Pelodiscus sinensis: one gene and its partners. The protein of the gene in region 3 purifies or fractionates together with the protein of the main gene of each other region. This does not show direct contact. Links are inferred from orthologs where the notes say so. Each region holds a gene or a part of one and is shown on either strand. Other genes may lie near its edges. The genes, in order: DLST, OGDH and DLD.

What was found.
Region 1: the proteins of DLD (region 3) and DLST purify together in Homo sapiens (affinity purification with mass spectrometry; 3 studies listed by BioGRID and IntAct, counting the BioPlex papers as one, with this or other methods). This does not show direct contact. The link is inferred for Pelodiscus sinensis from reciprocal best matches to the Homo sapiens genes DLD and DLST.
Region 2: the proteins of DLD (region 3) and OGDH purify together in Homo sapiens (affinity purification with mass spectrometry; 3 studies listed by BioGRID and IntAct, counting the BioPlex papers as one, with this or other methods). This does not show direct contact. The link is inferred for Pelodiscus sinensis from reciprocal best matches to the Homo sapiens genes DLD and OGDH.

Annotation. Positions count from the first base shown.
Region 1 is NC_134714.1:44,204,378-44,212,384, forward strand, and holds the start of DLST (dihydrolipoyllysine-residue succinyltransferase component of 2-oxoglutarate dehydrogenase complex, mitochondrial), read right to left. Parts: upstream 3,027-8,007; 5' UTR 2,939-3,026; coding exon 2,870-2,938; intron 1-2,869. UniProt on the Homo sapiens protein: Dihydrolipoamide succinyltransferase (E2) component of the 2-oxoglutarate dehydrogenase complex. The 2-oxoglutarate dehydrogenase complex catalyzes the overall conversion of 2-oxoglutarate to succinyl-CoA and CO(2).
Region 2 is NC_134738.1:4,939,943-4,946,955, reverse strand, and holds the start of OGDH (2-oxoglutarate dehydrogenase complex component E1), read left to right. Parts: upstream 1-3,949; 5' UTR 3,950-4,069; coding exon 4,070-4,078; intron 4,079-5,562; coding exon 5,563-5,811; intron 5,812-7,013. UniProt on the Homo sapiens protein: 2-oxoglutarate dehydrogenase (E1o) component of the 2-oxoglutarate dehydrogenase complex (OGDHC). Participates in the first step, rate limiting for the overall conversion of 2-oxoglutarate to succinyl-CoA and CO(2) catalyzed by the whole OGDHC.
Region 3 is NC_134711.1:27,156,518-27,163,723, reverse strand, and holds the start of DLD (dihydrolipoyl dehydrogenase, mitochondrial), read right to left. Parts: upstream 3,085-7,206; 5' UTR 2,965-3,084; coding exon 2,926-2,964; intron 1-2,925. UniProt on the Homo sapiens protein: Lipoamide dehydrogenase is a component of the glycine cleavage system as well as an E3 component of three alpha-ketoacid dehydrogenase complexes (pyruvate-, alpha-ketoglutarate-, and branched-chain amino acid-dehydrogenase complex).

The DNA of each region.
Region 1 (8,007 bases), on a different chromosome or scaffold from region 3:
TCACAGGAAAGTAGGAGCCTGAACAGGAAGCAAAATCTATAGATCTAGCAAACTGACTGTAGCACTACGAATCTCTTAACTTACACTTCCCCAGATCAAGCTACCAATTAATTTAATCTTTCCCTACCTTCACATAACTTCTCAGAACCATTCAACATGCTGGAACCAGTCTATCACCAAAGGCATCCCCTATATATTTAACCATCTCCATACTATCTTTTAGGGAAATGCCACTCATGACATTTGAAAAGTCCCCCTATGGAATACGGAAGATGACTGTAGGCATGCTGTGTGTCCTCAGTCCTATACTGGAAACAAGAGCCAGTTCAGATAAGAGCATTGAGAGAATAGAATCACGCTGGGCAAAGCCAGTTTCACGGCTCCAAGCACAACTTCCAATAGACAAAGGGCTGGAAAGCTTTGGAAGTGGCATGACAGACCAATCACTCTGTGGCAAAGACTTCTGCACACACATAGGAAATAGTGGAAGAACTGCTTACAGCAGAGAGGGCTGCTGCATTGACAGAGAGGGCTGCCAGTGTAACCCATTGCTGGAAACAAGAGAACCAAGTATTTCAAATTACTCATTGATTTCAACAATTAGTAATTATACACATCAGGTAGATAGAGAAGGAGACAGGTGCTAAGATGCAATGCAGACGGTAATGCTGAGCAGACAGAAGATATCGTTACCAAACTGGCAGCCTGACCTGTTCTCGAATTCCCTGCCAATCTCCCCACTAACTTTTATGATCCTTTCTTTCCTAAATATATCCCAAAGGTCTCATTCACTGTGAATTCTGCTGTTTTCAGTGTTGTAAACTACACTCTTTCTTTGGACCCTTTCCTCTGAGGGCTTCTGGGGCCCTCCTCTCTGTTCAACCCCTCTATAGGTAGTAATTCTCCTCACTTTTGTGCCCAATGGCAGTAGTAAATGGCCTTCTCTTCCTCCTCTCTCAGCACTTGTACATGATTCCTATGTTGGCAACTCATCTCTTGTCTTCAATCCCATAATGCTGCTTGTCTCTTCAAATTCTCTTTCTGCATATCTTCTTTCTTCCTCACATATCAAAACGCCAACACTTTTCTTCCTTCTCCTTATCTCTATTCCTGCTGACCACTCCCCTATCTTCCTAGTCACTCAAGCCCACAGACCTGAGGGTCATCCTCGTCTTCTCTTCTCTCCTCCTGCCATTAGATATCCACCAAATTCTGGCGAGTCTCCCTCTGCATTTCCAAAATCTGCTTCTTCCTCCTTATTCTCAATGTCAAAACTTTTTGTCTATGCCCTATTATCTCTTGCTTGATGACCACTACTTCCTTGGCCTTCTTACCCAAACACAAACATTTCTCAATTGATTTCACAGCTAATTCTACATCAAGTAGAAATGCCTTGTCCTTGCTATCATCTTTCTGCCCTAATTACACACTCATTACTGAGGTACCCAATTGCTACTTCTTGGCTGTGTCTAGACTGGCAAGTTTTTCCGCAAAAGCAACTGCTTTTGCAGAAAAGCTTGCTAGCTGTCTACACTGGCCGCTTGAATTTCTGCAAGAACACTGACAATCTCATGTAAGAAATCAGTGCTTCTTGCGGAAATACTATGCTGCTCCCGTTCCGACAAAAGTCCTTCTGCGCAAAAGGGCCAGTGTAGACAGCTCAGATTTGTTTTGCACAAAAAAGCCCCGATCGCAAAAATGGCGACTGGGGCTTTTTTGCGCAAAAGCGCGTCTAGACTGCCACAGACCCTTTTCCGCAAAAAGCGTCCGTGCCAATCTAGACACTCTTTTCCGCAAATGCTTTCAAATGGAAAACTTTGCAGTTAAAAGCATTTGTGGAAAATCATGCCAGTCTAGACGAATCCCCAGTCTTCTGCTACATTTCCATTTATATTTTGCCAATTTCTCCCCATAACAAAGCTTCCCACAATACAGTTTTTGAAACAGAGATCATTCTTTAGGTGCCTGTAAAGTTTTATGAACACTTAAGGTGCTGTCAAAATTACTTGCTTCTCTAGATTAACAATACCAATGCAAGTCGCATAAACCAGATAGAAAGCTGTCACAAGGATGGTATATGTGTACCAAAGAGACTGTGTTTTAGGAGATACATATTAGGAGAGCAGAATATGAGTGGGTATAAAAAAATCCTGGTATCAGACAGCTACAAAGATGTTTACGGTGGCATAGCTGTCTTTCTGTTTATTCCATGTAGGATGACCTCCTGATAGTAGAGCTGACAATAGGCTGTCCTTGTAACTCCTCCTCAGGAGGGCTCCAGCACACAGCTTGCAACAGTTGCCTGCCCAAGAATAAGAGCCACAAGGATGGTATTAGGGAGTTCTGAGGGCAAATGCTGGGCAGGCTATCAGGCTGCAGTTGAGGCGGCCCTGCTTGCCCAACCGGTGCTGTCTCTGGCTATGCTCAGGACCTATTCCATCAGCCCCATCCTGCAGGGTCTGGACTCAAATAGCCCTCGCCATTCGGGACTCCGGCTTTAGACTGGCAGGCGTATCCTTGGGGCGCGGGGTTTCCCTCAGCTGCCACTCCCCACGCCAGGCCGGTCCACGGACAGACCTCACAAGGGATTTGCTCCGAGGGGGGGGAGGGGAGGATCTGAGGCAGCGCCCTGTTCGCCGGGGCCCCAGCTTGGGGCACGGCTTGTGGGACACGTTCCCCTGAGGCTCGCGGTGCGCACGGCGGGTGCGCAATGGGGGTCCCACGAGGGAGCGGCCCGCGGGGGACCGGGCGCAGGAGTTTCTCCAGGAGTCGGCCCAGAACGGGGACGTGACACCGCGTCCCGGTGCCCTTGGCGCTGCTGCCCGTTCGTCCCTTCCGCTCCCGCCCCCGCCCCCGCCCCGGGCGGTACCTGCCGGAGCGCGCAGAGTGAGCGGCCAAGCGCCCCGCTCAGACAGCGGGACCGGGACAATAGCAGCATCGCGGCGGCGGCAGCGACGGCAGGAGCAGCCGGAGGGCGGACACCGGAACCAGGCCCGGCACAGGGCGGAAGCGGGCCGGGGCGGACCAACCTCGGGCGCATATGCGGGGGGGGGGGTGTGTCACAGGGGATCGTACCAACCACGGGGCTGGGGACGCAGACAGTGAATTCTCCTAAGGAGCAGCACGAGTGCACCCGAAGAGCAAAGCTGGTGGGAGCAGAAGGGAATGGCGGAAGGAATGAACCACCCCGAGGCGATGGGGGGGGGCGTGAGGACTGAACCACCCCGTGGGGTCTCATGAAGTGGGGCTGAACCGCCCTGTTGCATGGCAGTGGGGGCAGAGCCGCGCTCAGGACAGGACCTCAGAGAACACCCGGAAGCGGCGTGACACCCGCAGGGTGCACCGAGCGGAAAACGTGCCCCACCCTGCCCCAGTCCAGACGTCTCGCTCCGGCTCAGTACTCACAAGGCTGGTGTCGGCAGTGGGATAGGAGGAGGGTTTGATGGAGGAGGCGGGGCCAGTATATAATGAGCCGTTGTGCGAGAAGCAGGCAGATGCGCTGGCATGGTTGGTAGAGTAGAGGGCTGGGAGGGTGAATCAAGGAAGGGCAGAGAAGCTATTCAGATGAGAACAAGGAATTGGAACCTGATGAGGAATGACAGTGGGGGAGCCCTTACAAGGGTGCAGAGATGGATTCTGTGGTCAGTGACTGGCCATGAAGGTGATCTTGGCACTTGTAATTTGAATGGACCAGAGGATGCAATATGGGTGTCAGAGAAGATGAAGTTATGGCTAGGAGGATGGGAGATAAGGGAGTCACAGAACTGAACGAAGTAAGGGTAAAGCTCATCTGTTCAGAAGACAGAGTATTCGCAGGGGCCAATCCAAGGCTGTGTCTAGACTGGCAAGTTTTTCCAGAAAATCAGCAGCTTTTCTGGAAAAACTTGCCAGCTGTCTACACTGGCCACTTGAATTTCCGGAAAAGCACTGACGATGTCATGTAAAATCATCAGTGCTTTTCCGGAAATACTATGCTGCTCCCATTCGGGCAAAAGTCTTTTTCCGAAAGACTTTTGCCCAAAAGGGCCAGTGTAGACAGCATAGTCCTGTTTTCCGCAAAAAAAGCCTCGATCGTGAAAATGGCGATTGGGGCTTTTTTGCGGAAAACCGCGTCTAGATTGGCCACGGACGCTTTTCCGGAAAAAGTGCTTTTGCGGAAAAGCATCCTGCCAATCTAGACACGCTTTTCCGAAAATGCTTTTAACGGAAAACGTTTCCGTTAAAAGCATTTCTGGAAAATCATGCCAGTGTAGACGTAGCCCAAGAGTATAGTACATACTCTCAGGATTGAGACCCCCACAAACCTCACCACCTTTCATTCCAAGTTCTTACAATATTCTTTAAACAGAAATACCCTGTGCCCATCATTCTCACATACTATAGCTCATAGGCTGTGGGAAAGAGAAAGATCCACACATGACTGATGCTAGTCACTCTGCTGATGTAACTCACACACCTGCTAGGTTTGGTGTACTGTCCCACTTAGTGGTACTGAGACCACTTACAGAAGGAGTGGGAAACCTAAGGCAACCAGCTTACCTGTATCTGGCTCCTGAGGCTCAGGGCTCCCCCCCCCCCCCCCCCAAAGCAGGCTGATTAAAGTTGCTATAATCCTCTTTGTTTTCTCCTGCTAAAATCACACTAGTGACAGCTACAGTAAATTACTTTCTGGACATTACATTTGATATAAATAAATGTTTCAGTTGCCACAGGCATGTTACCTGGATAGAAATAGGAGGTCACCTGCACAACTGGAAATGGCAAGAAAGGAGCATGAAACAGCTTCCTCTTAACATGAGGTGAATGCTACTACAAAGTTTAAGAAACTCTGTACTAAACCTGCAATAGTCTGTGATCCTGTAATTAAAAACTGCATTGTAATGAGGCATCTGTTCCAAAAGGGAAAGTAAAGATTGAGTGTACATCCATAATTAAGGCTTTTCATAACTTTTGAGCATCTATGTAACCATAATACTCTGCAAAGAATTTTGCAGGGAATTTCCTAGGAATTTTTTAAAGGAAAAATATTAGAAAAATCAATAAGAGACATTCTCCAATACTTTGAAACTCTGCTGGCATGTAAACAAAAAGGAAATAGAGCCCTAGGGATGTTAAATTTAGTTTAATCAACTAATCAACTAGTCGATAGATTTTCCATTGATTAGTCAATAAGTGGGGGAGCAGCAGTGGGGTTAGCTCCCTGCCCTGGAAACTAACCCCTCTGCAGCTCTGCCTTTTAAATGTATTAAGAGCCTCTTGGCTCTTAATACATTTAAAAGACTGAAGTGCAGCAGGGGGGACCCTGCGTGAGCTGGGACAGCTGATTCCCGGTTCGTGCTGGGTCCCCTCCCGTGTCTTAATACATTTAAGAGCCCTCCCTACCGGCTCTTAATACATTTAAAAGGCTGGAGCTCAGCAGGGGACCTGGCACAAGCTGACAATCAGCTGGTCGGGCTTGCGCTGGATCCCCGCTGCTGCACTTCTGATTTTTAAAGTATGAAGAGCCAGGTGGCTCTTAATACATTTAAAAAGCAGAGGCACAGCACCCGGTCCCCACTATCCCCCTGCTTCCCCTGCCCCTTGCAGAGACAGTGCTGGGGGGAACCAGCTTTTAAACCAGCTCCCCCCAGCCCTAGGTCTGCCCCTCTTGCTGCCTCTATCAGAGGCAGCAAGTGGGGGGAAAGCAACTAGTTGAGGGACTAGTTGACTACCCAATAAGCTTTTGCTTAGCAGATAGTCGACTAGTCATTTATATCCCTAAGATCTTGTAAAGTGCCAAATCTAGAACTTTTTCAGTTATTCTTCACTGGAATGCTGCTGTCCTTGAGCAAGACACTGGAAAACAGCTGTCCTTAACAAAAGATTCCTGCCTAACAGGAAAAAAATATGCATGGTAGGCTTTCATTAAACATCTCTCTAAGTATCTGGAGGGAAATTAGAAAAATAAAAAATTTACTTAGAGTTGATTAATTCAGCTGAGCAGGTGAATTCAGTCTGGTTCCAGGGAAAATCCATCCTCAGCAGAGCCGTCCATCAAGATAGCTAGTTACAAAGATGACATCATCTAAACAAGCTTTCATTGGTTAATCACATTGTTCCATTAAGGAGAGGTGAAAGACTCTTTAGTCACTCTTTGCTATCCATTCCTGAGGAAAGGTAGATTATTTCCCACAGAATACTTACTTCCAGTTCTGAGAGCAGGAAGAAACTTACAAGCTACTGTGGACTACTGGTTCAAATTTCTAAAGTTACTGTTTGCAAAGTGCTTTAAAAATGTAAAATACTAAGTACAATTATTTGTTACTAGGGTTTGTCAAGTGATTTAAAAATTAATCATGATTAATCATGAGATTACAAAATTAACTGATTAATTGTGCTGTTAATAATAGAATATAATTTATGTAAATATTTTGGATGCTTTTCTACATTTTCAAATATATTGATTTCATTTACAATACAGAATACAAAGTATACTTAATATTATCATTTTTATTATAAATATTTTCATGTAAAAAGATAAACAAAATACATTTTATTTATCAATTCACCTCTTAAAAGTATTATAGGGCAATCTCTTTATTGTGAAAGTGCAAGTTGCAAATGTAATTTTTTTTGACACGTAACTGCAAGCAAAATCAAAACAATGTAAAACTTTAACACCTACAAGTCCACTCAGTCCTAATTCTTGTTTAGCCAATCACTAAGACAAATACGTTTGTTTACATTTATATGGGAGATAGTGCTGCCCACCTCTATTTACCATGTCACCTGAAAGTGAGAACAGGTGTTTGCATGGCACTTTTGTAGCTAGCTTTGCAAGCTATTTACATGCCAGAGATGCAAAACATTCATACACCCCTTTCATGCTTTGGCTACCCTTCCAGAGGGCATACTTTTAGGCTGATGGCAATTGTTAAAAAAAGTATTAATTAAATTTGTGACTGAACACTTTGGGGAGAATTCTATGTCTCTTGCTCTATTTTACCTGCATTCTGCCGTGTATTTCATGTTACCAGACCAGGTTCAAGCTCCAAAATCCTCTAAGATGTTGCTGTCTTCCCATCTTCATTATTTCTATGTTTTTATATTGCAGTGCAATCCTGTTTTGTTTAGCTTTGCAGGAGAACAAAATCTTCTCTATTAGGACTCTTCTGACACAGAGGTGCCCTCTTTTTTGCCCCCCCCCCCCATTCTCATATGGCCCAAGAGAGATGCTGTCAGCCAGCCTCAATATTGTCACAGAGCTCCTGAAACCTTCTGAACTCTCTCTAAGATGGTGTCTAGAGAATTATCACAATCAGAAAGGCATTGCTCTCATGTGCAGCAGTGCATTCCTCACCAGGTACAATATAGGAGATTTCATCTTCTGCTGAAACACAGCAGGTGTCATACTAGTCTAGAGGAATTGTTGGTGTGAACTGGCATAGCAGAGGTGAAATTCTGAGTGAAAATTACAGATTGTGGTATTAGGGACTGTGCCATTCAGGGCTGAGCTAAGATGCGGGGAAGCCCTTGTTCCATTCCTGCTCTCACTGCTCATCCCTGCCCCAACGATCTGCTCCTGTACCATTCTATCTTGATCTATGGCAGCTCGTGTTCCTCCTGTCTTAGCTGCCTCAGACATAGCTCTGTCAATGCATAGATATCCTGACCTGTAACAAGTTAGAACCTAGAAGCTAATGCACAGAGCTCTTTATGCACTATCTTTATGGTCCTATCTGAAAAGCAGACTTCACATATTAAAGACTCTCTGAACAGCTGACTTTCTGTGGTCCCCAGTGGCCCAGCTGCAGATACAAGGTCTCCCTCCCTGATCCCAGGCTCTGTCTGAACCTGACCTCTTCTTCTCTCATTTGCATATTCAGAAGCACTTGAAGCTGGTTGGCTGCTATTGGCTTTCCCATCCCTTTCTTTAGCAGGGACAAAGCTCAGAGGTTTCCTCAATGCCCCTGCCAGTGCTTCTGTGCTTCTTCTCATTTGCCAGTTTCCAGGCACTCTCTGGGAACA
Region 2 (7,013 bases), on a different chromosome or scaffold from region 3:
TAGGGTTCACTTCACCAGTTTAGCAGCCTAATTTTTCCTTTAATCAGACATTCATTCTCTTAATCCTCTGTTTGTTTGGCTTGGTCCTTGCTTAAGCAAAAAGTGATTCCCAGTCTGTCTTCTGTGACAAGTTTTATTGACTCTTCTGGCTGGTTTGAGGCCAAATTAAGTAGCTTAATCTACAGTGTTTAATGGTCTGTCTTTGTATAGTTTGAATACTGGGTTTATTCTGAATATTTGTAGTCACTGATCTTTCAGTGAAAACAACTAAAAACAGGGAATTGAGGAATTTCTGAGTTTGAGTCCAGCTTTAATGCTTCCTTGTCAACACAGCTGTACATGTGATCAATACATTTGAATACTGTTTTAGTTAAACTGGTTCAGCTTTGTATCTGAACTCTCATCGGTTTACTTTATATCGGCACATTTACAAGCATAGGCTAAATTAATGTATCTAAATATAAACCAATATGAGTCTCCCCAGACAGGCTGTAAGGTGTAACTAAACTGATTCATATTAAACCTGTGCAGCTTCTGAGTATAGACAAGCCAAAGCACTTTATTTGGAATTGGGCAGATCAGTTCTAAGCCAAAACTTTTAAAATATTTACCACTAATACTTTTTTGACACTTCATCTCTTAGGAGCCTAATAGTGGCTTGTGTACATAGGGTTATTCCTGAAAATCTCTACCCATCGACACTTACTTTGGAGCAAAAGTTCTCCGATCCCATTGAAAGTAGATTAAGCTAAACAGGAGCCAAGGCACTCTTGTTCCAAATAAAAGTGCCTATGCTTGGAGTTACTAAAAATAGCTATTGTTTTTCTGTCTCATTCAGGGAGACACTCAGAATCCCTATCAATCCTAAGATATGAAATCAACAGACTTGCATCCCAAAAGACTGAGTGTTTGTTTGCTTCTGTTTTGATGCAAAACCACTGGGAGTCTGTCGAGATCTGACAAGATGTTGGTTTACAGACTTAAGGAAAAGACTAACAGAAATAAGATCACTGGTATTTGTGATGGTAGCAGTAATTATACACAAGTCAGATGTTAATAAACACTTTTAACAATTGTATGCACAGCTGTAGCCCAAGAAGGAATCAATAAAAGATGCCCTATTTGTGAATTGTCTCTGTCACAGATCTGTTGGAAAGAGCTTTCTGATGTTCCTCTAGAAACTGGAGCAATAGCTTAGACTTCAAAAGAAATGAAGGTTGGAAAGACCAAATGAATTTTAACAAATGTTCTCTGAAACTTGAACACCTCTGTTCAGTGAAGCCATGGATGACCAAACTCTCCTACCTCCTCTAAGAGAATCTGTTCCTTCAGTTAGCCCTAAACCTGGGAAAGTCAATAGACTAATAGTTACTGGCCAGTTTTTTAGCCAGAGCATTTGCTATGGAATTGTGCAAAGGCCTCGCACACGCAACAAGCTTGTTACCCAGATGAGCGCTAATTAGAATGCTTAGACTCAACTTTTGCAGGTGTTGAGTTCTCAACAGTCATTGTTCTCAGCATCTTTGAAAGTCATGTCCCAAATGTCTCCAGTTGGACACCAGAATTAGATTACTCCATGAAAAGTTGGTCCATAAGCCTCTCTGAATGGTAACTACCAAGAGGTAGAATCCTAGTGATGACGAGGCAGTGGGTAGTTTTTTGTACAAGTTAGCAGGTTGATTTAAAGTGGGTAGTAGTGTACCGGAGGTTCCCTGATTCCCACAGCTTCCATTGGCCGGGAGCAGCAAACCACAGCCCCTGGGAGCTGTGAGTAGCATGCCTGCAGACACTCAGTAAGCAAACTGCCTTGCAGCCCCCAGCAGCTAACCCTGACCAGCCCGAACCGGAGGCTCCCCACTCCTGATTTAAGGGCTATGTTTTCGCTGCCAAAAAGGGGGTGGAGCAGCAGGTTAGGGTATGTTATCTTGCTGAAGGTAAGACACAGCCATAGACTTGGAGGGACCTTAGGGCTTTTACCTTGATGTACAAAGTCATGTGGGAAACTGCAGCATAGTTATCTTCTCCAGGATTTTACCACCTGTTAAGAACGTACCTTTTCCCTTAGTGAAGTCACAGTGTAGTGCTGTGAAGGGCTTTGAGTGCACAGCAAGGAAGGCACTATACTTCTCTACTCCAGATTGTCCCTCCTTGGTCTGGCACCCTGGAGATCTGACGGGTCCTGGACCAGGGGCAGTCAGTGCCGGCCCCTCTGCTGCCCTGGCTGCAGGGATCTGCTTGATGGCAGCAGAGGGGCTGGCATTGACTGAGCAGGGACTGGGTGGAGGGTGCTCGGCAGAAGAGACGGGGTGGCAGTGTAGCCTTCTCCTGGGCGTCTTGCCTCCTGTCCCCACTTTTCCAGCTCCGGAAGCTTTTGGGAGGACGGGAGGAACAGCTGAGCATTGGGCCTCAGCTTTTCCTCATGAGGGTTCCAGCCCAGGAGCACCCATGGGGATGTCAGGCCAGAGATGGTCTCCGGGTGAGGGAAATCCAGACTAGAGGTGCAGCCTGTAGCACTCCATTGAATTCTGGCCCAAAAGCACCATGGCAGCTCGGTGAGCAATGCAATAAAATTGTAGCTGGAAGAAAAGTGCTGTCCTAGTTAACCAGTTGCAACTCCCAGCCAGCAACTCTCAGCCAGTGCCTATTAAATAGGAAAGGGGGTAATGGAAAATGTTTCCAAGCTGGGTTTATGTAACCAAAGTTGTTTTCTTGCGGTTTTTGCTTATGAAGGAGGGTTGTGCCATCTTCACATGAGGTTGCTGGAGAAAATGTAACATTGAACCCCGTGATCCAGCTGCCAAACAGACCCTGCCAGTTCTCAGCTGGGGATAGGGGCTTTTTATGTCCACTTAGTGGGCTCTCACTGAACAAACTTGTTTGTGTTTTTAAGTAAATGTTTTGTAAACGAAAGGCCGAAACCCTCTCCCCAGCCAGTGTACCAATTCTGGAAGTAGCCTCCAGCTCACATGCCACTGTCCTAGGGCTTTTAAAAGAGACAAACTGCTGGGTATTGTATGGCCTGGTGACGGCTGCTCTGCTGACAGACTGATCCGTAAGTATTCTGTGTGTTATGACGGCATGTAGCTGCACCAATAGCTTGTGCACTGTCACTGACATTTCTTTTTGTTTTTAAAGGGGAGTCAGTGTTCATCTCAAGGACTAGATTTGAAATGTTAATAGGAATAGCTGGGAAGGGGAGCAGAGGTGTAAGGGCCAGATTTTCAGATGTTCCACTTCCATTGGAAAATTTTCCTTTTTTTAAATAGGAAAAAACAACTAAAAAGCACAGGAATTGGCAGAAGGACAAGAAATTATTTGAAGCTTTTTTTTAATTGACTCAATTACAGTACAGGCAGTCCCCGGGTTACGTACAAGATCGGGACTGTAGGTTTGCTCTTAAGTTGAATTTGTATGTAAGTTGGAACTGGTACATATTGTAGGGGAAACTCTAGCCAAACATTTCTCCAGAGCTCAGTTTTATTCTCCCACACCTCACTTCCCTCAGTCCTTTATTCTCAAGCTGAGGTGTCTGCTGAGAAAAGCCGCTCCGCGTCTCCCTGGTCTGCTGGGGGGGGGCGCTAGCTTCGCGTCTCCCTGGTCTGCTGGGGGGAAGCAGCTAGTGCGGGGTTGCCTCACCCCGTTTGTAAGTAGGGATCCGATGCAAGTCGGATCCATGTAACCTGGGGACTGCCTGTACTGTCTCAGCCGAATAAACAGGCATTAGCCATAAGATAGCTTTAGGAGTCTGATTCACTAAGGCTAGGTCTTCACTGCAAAAACCTTGCATTAGTTTTGAGATAGTTGTCTTGCTGTAAGTTCTTAGTGGAGACAAGGTATGGGGAACTTTTACAGCAAGGTGGCTACTTGTGGTCTCCTTCATCTGTCTGCAGTAAGGTACTTTTGGTTTGTGTCCACAGGGATTTAGCATTGAGATGGTCAGATGTCACCTATTTTTTTTCCAGTGAAGACATAGCCTCGGAATCCCAGCCCTCCACTCTTTAAAGGGAAATAGGGCCTTTCCTGGAACCCGCGTCTCTCGCGTTTAGTTGGACAGCAAATCCAAGAAGATATGCTTCTTGTATGTTACGTTTTAATTTTGCATAATAGCTGATAATTTTACTCTGATGGCTTAATGACCTCTTCCTAGTGCACTAGGAGGAATGGCGCACATGTTGTAAAATGCCTGCATATGTTGCGCTGCACGCAAGGGCAACTCTTTCCCTGCCCCGCGTGTTTGGGAGTGAGCAATGTGGACACTAAGAGAACTGCAGGGAGGTGGGAATGGGAACAAAGTTCAGCAGAAGTGCTGCTGAGTGGCAGTCTCAGCATTTTGCCTCCACTGCTTCCAGTGAGTTGCAATTACGCTCTCTTGGGGTGCCTTCCCTGTCAGTAAATCCATTTTCCCAACATCCCCTTTGCTTTTAATCATTCCTACCTCTCCTCTAGCTTTGCTTCTGATGCTCTTTGTCCGCAGCCTACTGACCAGCTTTCTCTGATCACATTTACAGCCTAGTGTTCCCTCCTTTATTCCTGTGCCCCAAGAGGTATAAATGATCAGACCTTTCTCATTTTATCAGCGGTTGTCAGAAAAACGAACATCTGTTCACAATGGAGTACTGCTTGATAAATGTAAAGCTTACAAGTTGATATATTAAACTTCAGTTTTAGGTGATGTAAACTGAAAGCAAAATAGGGGAGAAAAAGTTGCTGTTAGGGTTGGATTTCACTTTCTGCTTTAGTTCCCTACTCCCCAGCCAATTGCAGCCAGTCAGTATGGGAAGGGATGTTAGTGTGTAATCATTTAAATGATTTGATTGATTGATAAGCCTGGTCTTATCTGTTAATTCTAATGACCAGGGCTCGACAAATAATACAATCTACTTGCCTGTGGCGAGTAGATGGTAACCCGGAAGAGCTGGGTTCGGGCGTTCTGCGCATGCGCAGATCGCTGGACAGCGCAGCTGGTGAGCTGGGCTCGCCGCGGTTTGGTGAGCCCTGCTGATGACTACATGCCCCTCGCCCCCAGGTTGCTGGTGGCTCCCCCCATGTATTGGCTCCCCCAGAACTGCCTGGGGTAGGCAGGAGAGAGTGCTTCTCCCCCCGTCTACCCCACATGTAAATGTGTAACAATTAAAAAAAATCCAGTGGTTACATGTTTACGCACGTGTTTGTTAACATCCCTATTGGGGAGTGGAGGGGATTAACCCAAAGGGATACTAGTCCATATCTTAATTCAGTAGTTGTGCAGTGCCAATACCCATACTAAGCTATTGGTTTCAAGTAGCCAAATGAGAAATCTGACTGGAGGAGGGGCAGCGTGGCCTCCTGGATGGAGCGTTGCTCTAGGACATGGGAAACCTGTTACTGGCTCCGCTCTGCTGAGTGACTCTGATTCCAGTCTCAATCTCCATTTTACAGATGGGGAAACAATGTTTGAGAAGGGCTTTGAGATCTGTGGATGAGAAATGCTAAGTAACAGCTAGATGGTTATTGGGTTGATTTCTCTTTGTAAATTGCAAAACAGTTCAATGTCTAAAATGCTTCTTATTCCTATACCAACAGGAGCTTGTGAGCGGCTACAGGACAAAAATGTTTCACTTAAGGACTTGTGCTGCTAAATTGAGGCCGTTGACGGCCTCACAGACTGTTAAGACAATTTCCCAACACAAGCCAGCAGCACCAAGGACGTTCCAGCAAATCAGGTGTTACAGTGCGCCTGTGGCTGCTGAGCCGTTTCTGAGTGGGACTAGTTCGAACTATGTGGAGGAAATGTACTATGCGTGGCTGGAAAATCCCAAAAGTGTACATAAGGTAAGGAGGAGCCATTCGTCCAGGATATTGTTCCTTCATCTCCTGCATGTGTGTGAGAGAGAGTCCAATGGCACAGTCAGGTAAGTGCAGATGTCCGGAAGGAATTCAGCGCAAAGAGCCTGGGAATCACGAATCATCAGTTCCACGTCCGCTTCTGTGGAAAGAACCAACAGTGTTTAATTGAGCAATAGCAAAACAATTCGATCCTGCTTCGTTCTGGATTGAATCCGAGAAGCTCAGAGCATTCAGTCAACTCGGCATGTTCTGCTTTGGGAATCAAAGGTGGATTCAAAGAGAAGAGCTGCCTTTCCTGGGAATCCCCCTCTTGCTGAGCTGCTGCTTTTCCTTTCTGATGGAGTGTTGGGAGAGCAGGGAGGAGGGAATTGGGTTCAAGTTCTGTGCATTCCACTATTAATGTGGGATGCAAATTGTGCTCAGCGCGGCAGTGTTTGATCTCCTGTGAGTAAGTATGCTGGCTCTGCTGCAGAGTCGTTCTTCCAACACCACTTGGGTGGCAGAAATGTGGGTATAAAATCCTCTGCTGTGGTTAGCAGAGCTCTTTCTACCAGCCATTCCTTAACTTTTCCTCAAGCTACTAACTTCAGAAGATAATTATTCTAAGGGTTACAAGTGTAAAATTCTAGTGAGCTTTAGTCTATCCAGAGCTGGTATCCGATAGCATACCACCTTGAAATCTGTCACTAACATGCATGTGTTGGGTTAATGGCCATCACACACAATCACTTTGGCCATGGTCCGTGGTAGATTAAGTTTACAAGTTTCAGTACAGTATTCAACCCTATACAAACGCGTGCAGCTCTGTTTAGCATAATTGTCTCATAAATCCCTCTTAGCGGGGCTGAATTTGGACCACAGGAAGTAGTCTGTTGGCTAGTAATTGCCAGGAGCCATTACCAAGCAAAGTGTCACTGGAAGTCTGAGGAGTAACTGTATGAAGTTAATAATAGACATTGAACTAGCTCTGCTATTGCTGTACACTAGACAGTCTTACAGTTAGAGGGTGAAATTAAAAACCTCCACTAGGAAGGAATGCTTGGTGGGGCCAGGAGGTGATCTTCAGCCTCATGTCTAAGGGAAGCTTGCGGAATTGTAGACTTAGCTGCTTTCCCGTCTCATCTCTGGGCAAGCTTTGGAGAGGCTATGAACTGAGACCTTGCACTGTGTGTAGAGAACAGGATTTC
Region 3 (7,206 bases):
CCCAATACATTACAAAGATTAAAAATAGGTAGCAGTTGTGAACTCCGTGGATAACGCACTGCTGTGGTATACAGAAAACTTAGCTCTGCCACTAATCTGTTGTGCTTCCTGTTGTGCTTTCATCTTGTGTATCTCTGTTTCTATTCCAATCTTTATTTTGTCCACTTAGATTGTAAGATCTTCAGGGCAGGCAATAGTTTTTACCACATGCATGCATTACATCTAAAACAACAGAACCAAAAGTTGCTTCGCAGATCAAACCAGCCACGAATTGCAAGGATTAAGAAAACCCCTTATCATCATCTGTTAACTGTATGTTATCTTGTAACATTCTCTGAGCATCAGGTACTAATGGCTGTTGGAGAAGATGTTCAGACTAGATAGGCAACCGATATTGTAATTGCTATAAAACAAAACCTATATAAACACACTAGAATACTTACCCCGCATTGTCTGGATCATGCTGCCTAAGAATGGAGCGGGGAGAGGAGTCCGGCACAGGCTGCCTGCCTGCTTCTCCTGGGGCTGGCCCAGGGGACCGGGGGAAGGAAGGCTGCACCATGGCCAGCAGCTACTCCTGGGGACAGGCCAGAATGGCAGGGGTTGTGCTGCCAGCCAGCAGCAGCTCCCCAGAACTGGGGTGCTTGCTACCCCCCTGTAGTTATTTGTGAATAAAACCGTCTCTGTTCTTACATCTCTACCTTTTCATATGATGAAAACAATCGTATTCCACGCACATCCCATTATCCTGGCACAACCAAACCCTGACCTTGCTTTAATTTATACGAGAAAGCTGCATGCCAAATTTGGTGGCCCTAGCTCTTATCATTTAGGAAGAGTTCTTGAAAAATGGACTCACAGATGAACAGGAGAGCCTTCAAGGAACACAAACAGTAGGCACTGAAATCTCTTGCACAACTCAGAGCATTGGGAAGTGAGGCATAAGAAACAGGCTCCAAGAGCCCCTCTGCCCACCTCCATGCACTGGGAGTGGAAGCAGCACACTGTGACATGCTTCAGGATTACCCAAGGCTGTGTAAGGCAACACACCACTACTATCTGTCCTTAGTGTAAATCAGCCTTATCTATGGCTCCTGTGACACAGCTTCCTGAAACTAACTGCCTCTGGGCCCACAAGCACAAGCCTCCAGGTCTACGTAGACCTGCTACGTAGACCTCACCCTTTCTGTAAAGGCTAGTGCTAGGGACACACCAACATCTCCCCCTCCTGTGTCCCAAGTGCTCCCTGCAGTATCCATCCCATCACTGGACACTCAGGCAAGGTCTACAAGAGGGAACCATGTCGAAATAAGGTACGCAATGCCAGCTACCTGAACGACAGCTGGAGTCAACATACTTTAGTTCAAGTTATTGTGGCAGGGGTGGGGGCACCAGAGGGTGAGGAAGAAACTCTCCCATTGATTCCCATTGGTCCACTCGAGTTGATGGGAGCATGATCAGCAGTCGATTTAGTAGGTGTTTACTAGACCCACTAAATCAAGCCCCAGGAGATCGATCACCGCAGTACCGATCTTCCAGTAAGTGTAGATAAGGCCTCAGTTATTACTGATTAAGCTGTGCCCAAAGAGACAGTGTATACACATCTTGACTGGTACAACACAGGATAAGGTACTATATAACATTACAGCACTAAAGTATATTTATAGTGAAAACAATCAAACATAATCCTTTCCTCTTTAATAAAATAGGTCTGCTCCCAAGAACTGAGTCCTTGATAAAGTTGCTGGTTATCTGGCAAAACCAGGATCCAAGTTTTCATGAATAGCTCCATTCGCCTCCTCAAGGGGTTTCCTCTGTGAATAATCACCGAAATGGCTTCGCTTCTCTTTTGTCTCCCAAATCTCATTGTTTCAACTCCAAACTCAGAATTGCCTATCGTCACCTACCCAATATTTGTTCTCCCGTGTGCTGGCCCCAACTCGTCTTCATATCCTCAAATTAACTTGAAAAATGTAGCTGACACTGTGTTTGTTTTACTACGCTTAATCTATATATTGTATGACTTAAAGGCAAATACATCAATTTGACCGGCAAAACCAGTTTTTCCATCTCCTCTGGGGACTTGTACCTTGACATCAACCATAAGATATATTTTCAGTAGACAGACAATTTTTAAAATGTATTCCATACAATTCATAATGGTATTAAGGACCACCATGATCCTGGCTTTGATTTAATATCTCATGCAACATTCTTTGTAGATAAATACAGTGATGGTGAAATGTTAGGTGTAATGAGTCTGTCAGTGGGGACAAGCATCATCATTACAGAACCGAGAGCCCTTTGCCAGTTGCACCCAAGGAGCTGTTAGGGTCACACACAAGCACCAAGCAGGCCAGATCAGAGTTACAGGCAGTGCTCCCTGTAAACTGTGCACGTGGGCTGCCGCCCAGGAGAAAGTCAAATGCCGCCCAACTGATTAGCAGCGCCCCACAGCCAGTCGCATGTGTTTGTACTAGGGCTGCACATCTGCACGTGCCTCGGCGCACGAAACAAATGTATTCTGCACAGGGAGGGAAAGGTTAGCGGGAACACTGGTTACAGGGGACGGGGGGGGGGGGGCACACACCAAGACCCCTCCGCTGGTTCAGGGTCGTGGTGACCGGGGAGGGGGTCCAGACACCAAGAGCCCCCTGCCTGGCTCAGGGTCCGTGGGGGCAGGGGACCAGGCACGGAGACCCCCGCTGCCCGGCGCGGAGTGGCGGGAAGGACTCACGGGGACGCGGGCACCACGCAAGCCCCGAGGTCCCTGGCCAGGCCGCATCCCTCCCCCCCCAAGGAGGGGTCAGTCTGCGCGCCCCGCCCAAGGCGGGGACGGTCGGTGCCCGCTGGCCCGGCCCAAGCCCCAGAGCGGCCCCCCGGCCGTGGCCGTGTCCCAGCGCCGCTCCCCGCCCGCGCGGCTACCTGGGCGAGCGCGCAGCAGACCCGGCTCCAGCTCTGCATTTTCCGGCCGCCTCAGGTTTAACCCCCGTCCGAGCGCCTCAGGCCTGGCAGCCGCGCCTCCAAGGTCTCCGCGGACTCGCGCAGGCGCACTAGGCCCGCGAGCGGACAACGACGCTGTCACCGAGCGGCGTCGCCTGAGCCCCGCGCAAGGGCACAACACTGCCCCCTGGCAGAGGAGGTCTGCAGGCGCAGCGGGTTGGCAGGGCTAGCCATAGTGGGCGTGGCTATGCAGATATGTCTGAACGCTCCGAGGCCTAGCAATAGGCCCTGCCTGGAGGGGGCTGCTGCAGCTCAGCTGAGTGTCTCCTTCCATGCAGCAGGCTGTACAAGAGTAATAGAGATGTAGCCCTGTTAGTCTAGTCTAGCTGAAACAAAAAACAGGACAATGTAGCACTTTAAAGACTAACAAGATGGTTTATTAGGTGATGAGCTTGCGGGGGGCCAGACCCACTTCCTCAGATCAAATTGTGGAAGAAAATAGGCATAATAGGTATATATGGTCATGCCTATTTTCTTCCACAGTTTGATCTGAGGAAGTGGGTCTGGTCCATGAAAGCTCATCACCTAATAAACTGTAAACTAACTGTACAGGAGAGTTGCAATACAGCTTCCTACAGCCACTATCTTGCCATAGATTTCAGAGCCCTCCAGGAGCAAAGGTTAAAATCTCTCTGTGGTATTTTGAAGTGAGTGAACATTGGTGGGGGAAATACATTTTCTTTAAAACCAGATCTACAGGGCCAAGGAGACTAGGGCTTTGCATAGTTCTTGTAGGTAGGATGGCAGGTGCCACAAATATAATGTTAAAGGAGCTGCATCATTCCTTCCAAGATGGCACCTTCTGTGCAGAGCACATTCACGCCTTCTGCACACTATGTCAGTCACTATCACGTTACTGTCATCCCATCCTCTGCGCTCTACAGGGGGCTGGAATCTATGCACTGGACAAGGGCAAAGATTGGGTGAATTGGAGACAGGAGCAGGGTGAGCTGATGGAGGCACATTATTCTCTTTCTTGCCTCAGAGACATTTCATTGGGCTGTTGTGATGTCTTAGGGATCGCCTACATATTCAAGTTACACAGCAACAAAACATTGTCACAATTTCAGGTTTTACATTTCTATACTAGATAAATCCCTTTTCTAATACCAGTTACCTTTTGCCTTTGAACAGTTCCCCAGCGTACGCCCTAGTCATGGGGGGAGGGTAGATCTAGCATTCACAGATAGCCTCCCACCATTGAAACTGTCTCTTGAGTTCTGGATAAAACTTCAGTTTCAAGCCTTCTTTTTAAAGGGCCTTTTTCTTCTTCCCCCTCATCACCTTCCTTTCATGGCATAGTGATTCATGATTATTCAAAGTGGAGAGCCTGAGATGTTTCAATTTCCTACTAAGTTGCGCAGTTGCGCAGCTTCCCATTAAGCATCATGCAGGGGCTCAGGGCCATAACGGGAAAAGGTGCCTCTCCCCCAGCCTTAAACAGCTGTGCCATGGGCAGCTCTTTCTTGGGACTGGCAGGGAGAGGCACTGCTCCACTCTCTGGAGCTGCTCTGTGCTGGGGGCTCTTCTCACCAAGCTGGGGCAGCTCTGTGCTGGGGCCAACAGGGATGTGTCCAACACAGCCGGTCTGGCTCCTAAGCAGAGGGGGTGGAAGGGAACATCATGTGCTCACTCTAGGACCTGGACCTGCTGTACTGGCCAATTCCCCGCAGGCCACTTCCAGGATGCAGCACGGTACCCCAGGACATGCATACACGTAGCAGTCTGCCGTAGCGCAGCTGACCAAGAGCTGCCCAAGTAAGCCCGAGTCAGCCTGATTCATTCTCTGTCCCCACTTCTTCTCCTCCATCCCAGAGCAGCTGAACAGCTGAGAACAGCTACGGTAATTTATGGCATTCAAGCTCTGGGAGGTAGGGGGAGGAGTGGGGATGAAGAGCAAATCAGATGATTCATTGTGCTCTGAAAGTGCTGGGAGGGAGGAGGAGAAATAGGAAGTGCAGGCTCCAGTGCCCCAGTGAGTGAAAGATACGTGTGGGAGGGGGGCAGACAGAGGGTCCACAGACAGGTGGAACCCCAGTGGGCCTCATGGAGCCTGCAGGCCACAGGTTGCCCACCGCTGGCCAAGAGGAATCCTTGGTTGGGAAGCGCCATGGCTGGTGTTTGCCCTGCGAAGAAGGAGGTACCCTAGAGCAGTGGTTTTCAAACTACGGGTCACAACCCAGTAGTAGGTCATAAAATGTCAGACACTGGGTCTCATTGCTAGGATTGCCAGGTATCTGGTTTTGAACCGGACAGTCCAGTATTTGAGCTTTCTGTTCGGGAAACAAATTGAGAAAATAGAAATGAGAAAATAGAAATGTCCGGTATTTTCTAAATATGATGTAATGTAGATTGTGATGTAATGTCAAGTGTGTCCAGTATTTTTGTTGAAACTATCTGGCAACCCTACTTGTTGCTGCAGTGGGATCAAGAGACGAATGGGGGTCCTAACTCAGACTATCTGCCTGTCCTGGCACTGCAGACTGTGCTGTGCCCTAGAAGCAGCTGGCAGCAGGCCTGGCTCCTAGGTGGGAGGGGGGCACACAGGGCTCCACACACGGCTCCTGCCTTGAGCACTAGCTCTGCACTCCCATTGGCTGGGAACAGGGCCGGCCTTAGGCCAATTCGACCGATTCAGTCAAATCGGGCCCCGCACCTAAGGGGGCCCTGCGCCCCTGAACCTGGAAGTGCCAGCCGGCGTTACAATTCAGAGCCGGGGGGAGGGGGGGCCTGCTGCACCAATATGTGGAGCTGGGTCTCTCCCCCGGCTCTGCCTGGAGCGGGCCCCGGACCCCCCGCGCGTTCTCCCACCTTGCCCCCAGAGCGTCCCCCTCAGCCCCGGACCGTCCCTGCCATGCGCGGCTCTCCCTCGCCACCTGCTGTTGCCATGTGCGGCATTGTAGGTGTGCGGGGCCCAGGCGTGACGTCACGTCATGCCCAGGATTTTAAAAGTCCTCGGAAACACATTGCGTGGCTGCCTCCAGGTTTGGACTCTGGGGCCTGAGCACAGACTCCAGCCCCACAACATGGAAGGCAGAAGGTAGGGAAGGGGCTTGTTCAGCAGGGGAAGGGAAGGGGAAGGTGCTTGTGGGGAGGGGAAGGGGAAGGAGCTTGTGGAGGGGGGGGGAAGAAAGGGGAAGGCACCAAGAGACAAATGGCAGGGGGCCAAATTCAGACAATGAGGAAAAGAGCAGGAGAGGAGGTGTCAGTGGGAGGGGGGACAGGGTGATGCTGGGAGAGGAGAGGGGAAGGGCATTGGGGGCTAGAGGAGAAGGGGGAGGTGCTGGAAGAAGGGGTGGGCATGAGAAAGGTGGGGATGGAGCAAGTCATGTGTGAGGGTACAGAGGGGCAGGAGGGTAATGGGGCAGAGAGCGGTGAGGGGGTAGGCATCAGGGAAAAAGAGGGCAAAGGGGACAGGGGCAGTAAGGGAAAGGGGAGGCACCAGGAGGGTGCAGGGCTAAGGGAAGGTGCAGGTGCCAGAGGATTCTGGGGAGAAGCAGAAGGGTAGACACCTGCAGGGGAGGGACCAGCACCAGAGGAGAGAGGCAGGACAGGTGTGTAGATGGAGGTGTTGGAAGAGGGGATGAGGAGGCGTAGCTCACTTGATCATAGTGGGGTTACTGGAGGATTGGGCACAGGGGGGAATGAAGGGCTGGTGGAGGGGGGCAGGTTGCAGGAGGGCTGAGGGCAGTGAGAAGGGCAGGAGTCAGGACAGCAGAGGAGGGTGAGGAGTTGGGGGGCAGCAGGCACCAGGGGAGATGATGGAGCAAGGAGAGGAGACATGGCAGCAGAGAGAAAAGGTAAAGGTTTAAAAATATTTATTAATAACTTAGTATGCTGCCCATGGCCAGTTTGTTTGTGCCTCGCAGTGCAGTTTGGGTTTATGTGGGGATCAACACGTGGCTGGCGAGTGGGAGCCAAAACAAAAAAGTAATCAGTGTAATGATCTTCTGCTGATATGCGTTTTAGTAGTTAAATTCTTGGACTGTCATTGCTCATTAAAAGTGCTGTCACATGGTAGAAATCGGGTAAATATTGAATTTTATTAATATCAGCAGAACTGACTTAAATGGGGTCTGTGTGTTGTGTAGTCTTGCCTTAATCTTTGTATTCATGCCTGTTAGTGTGAGAAAAGCTATTTGTATATATTTGCTTGCATATGCAACCACACTTAAGTTGAGGCCCTCAGCATGTTCTGTAAGT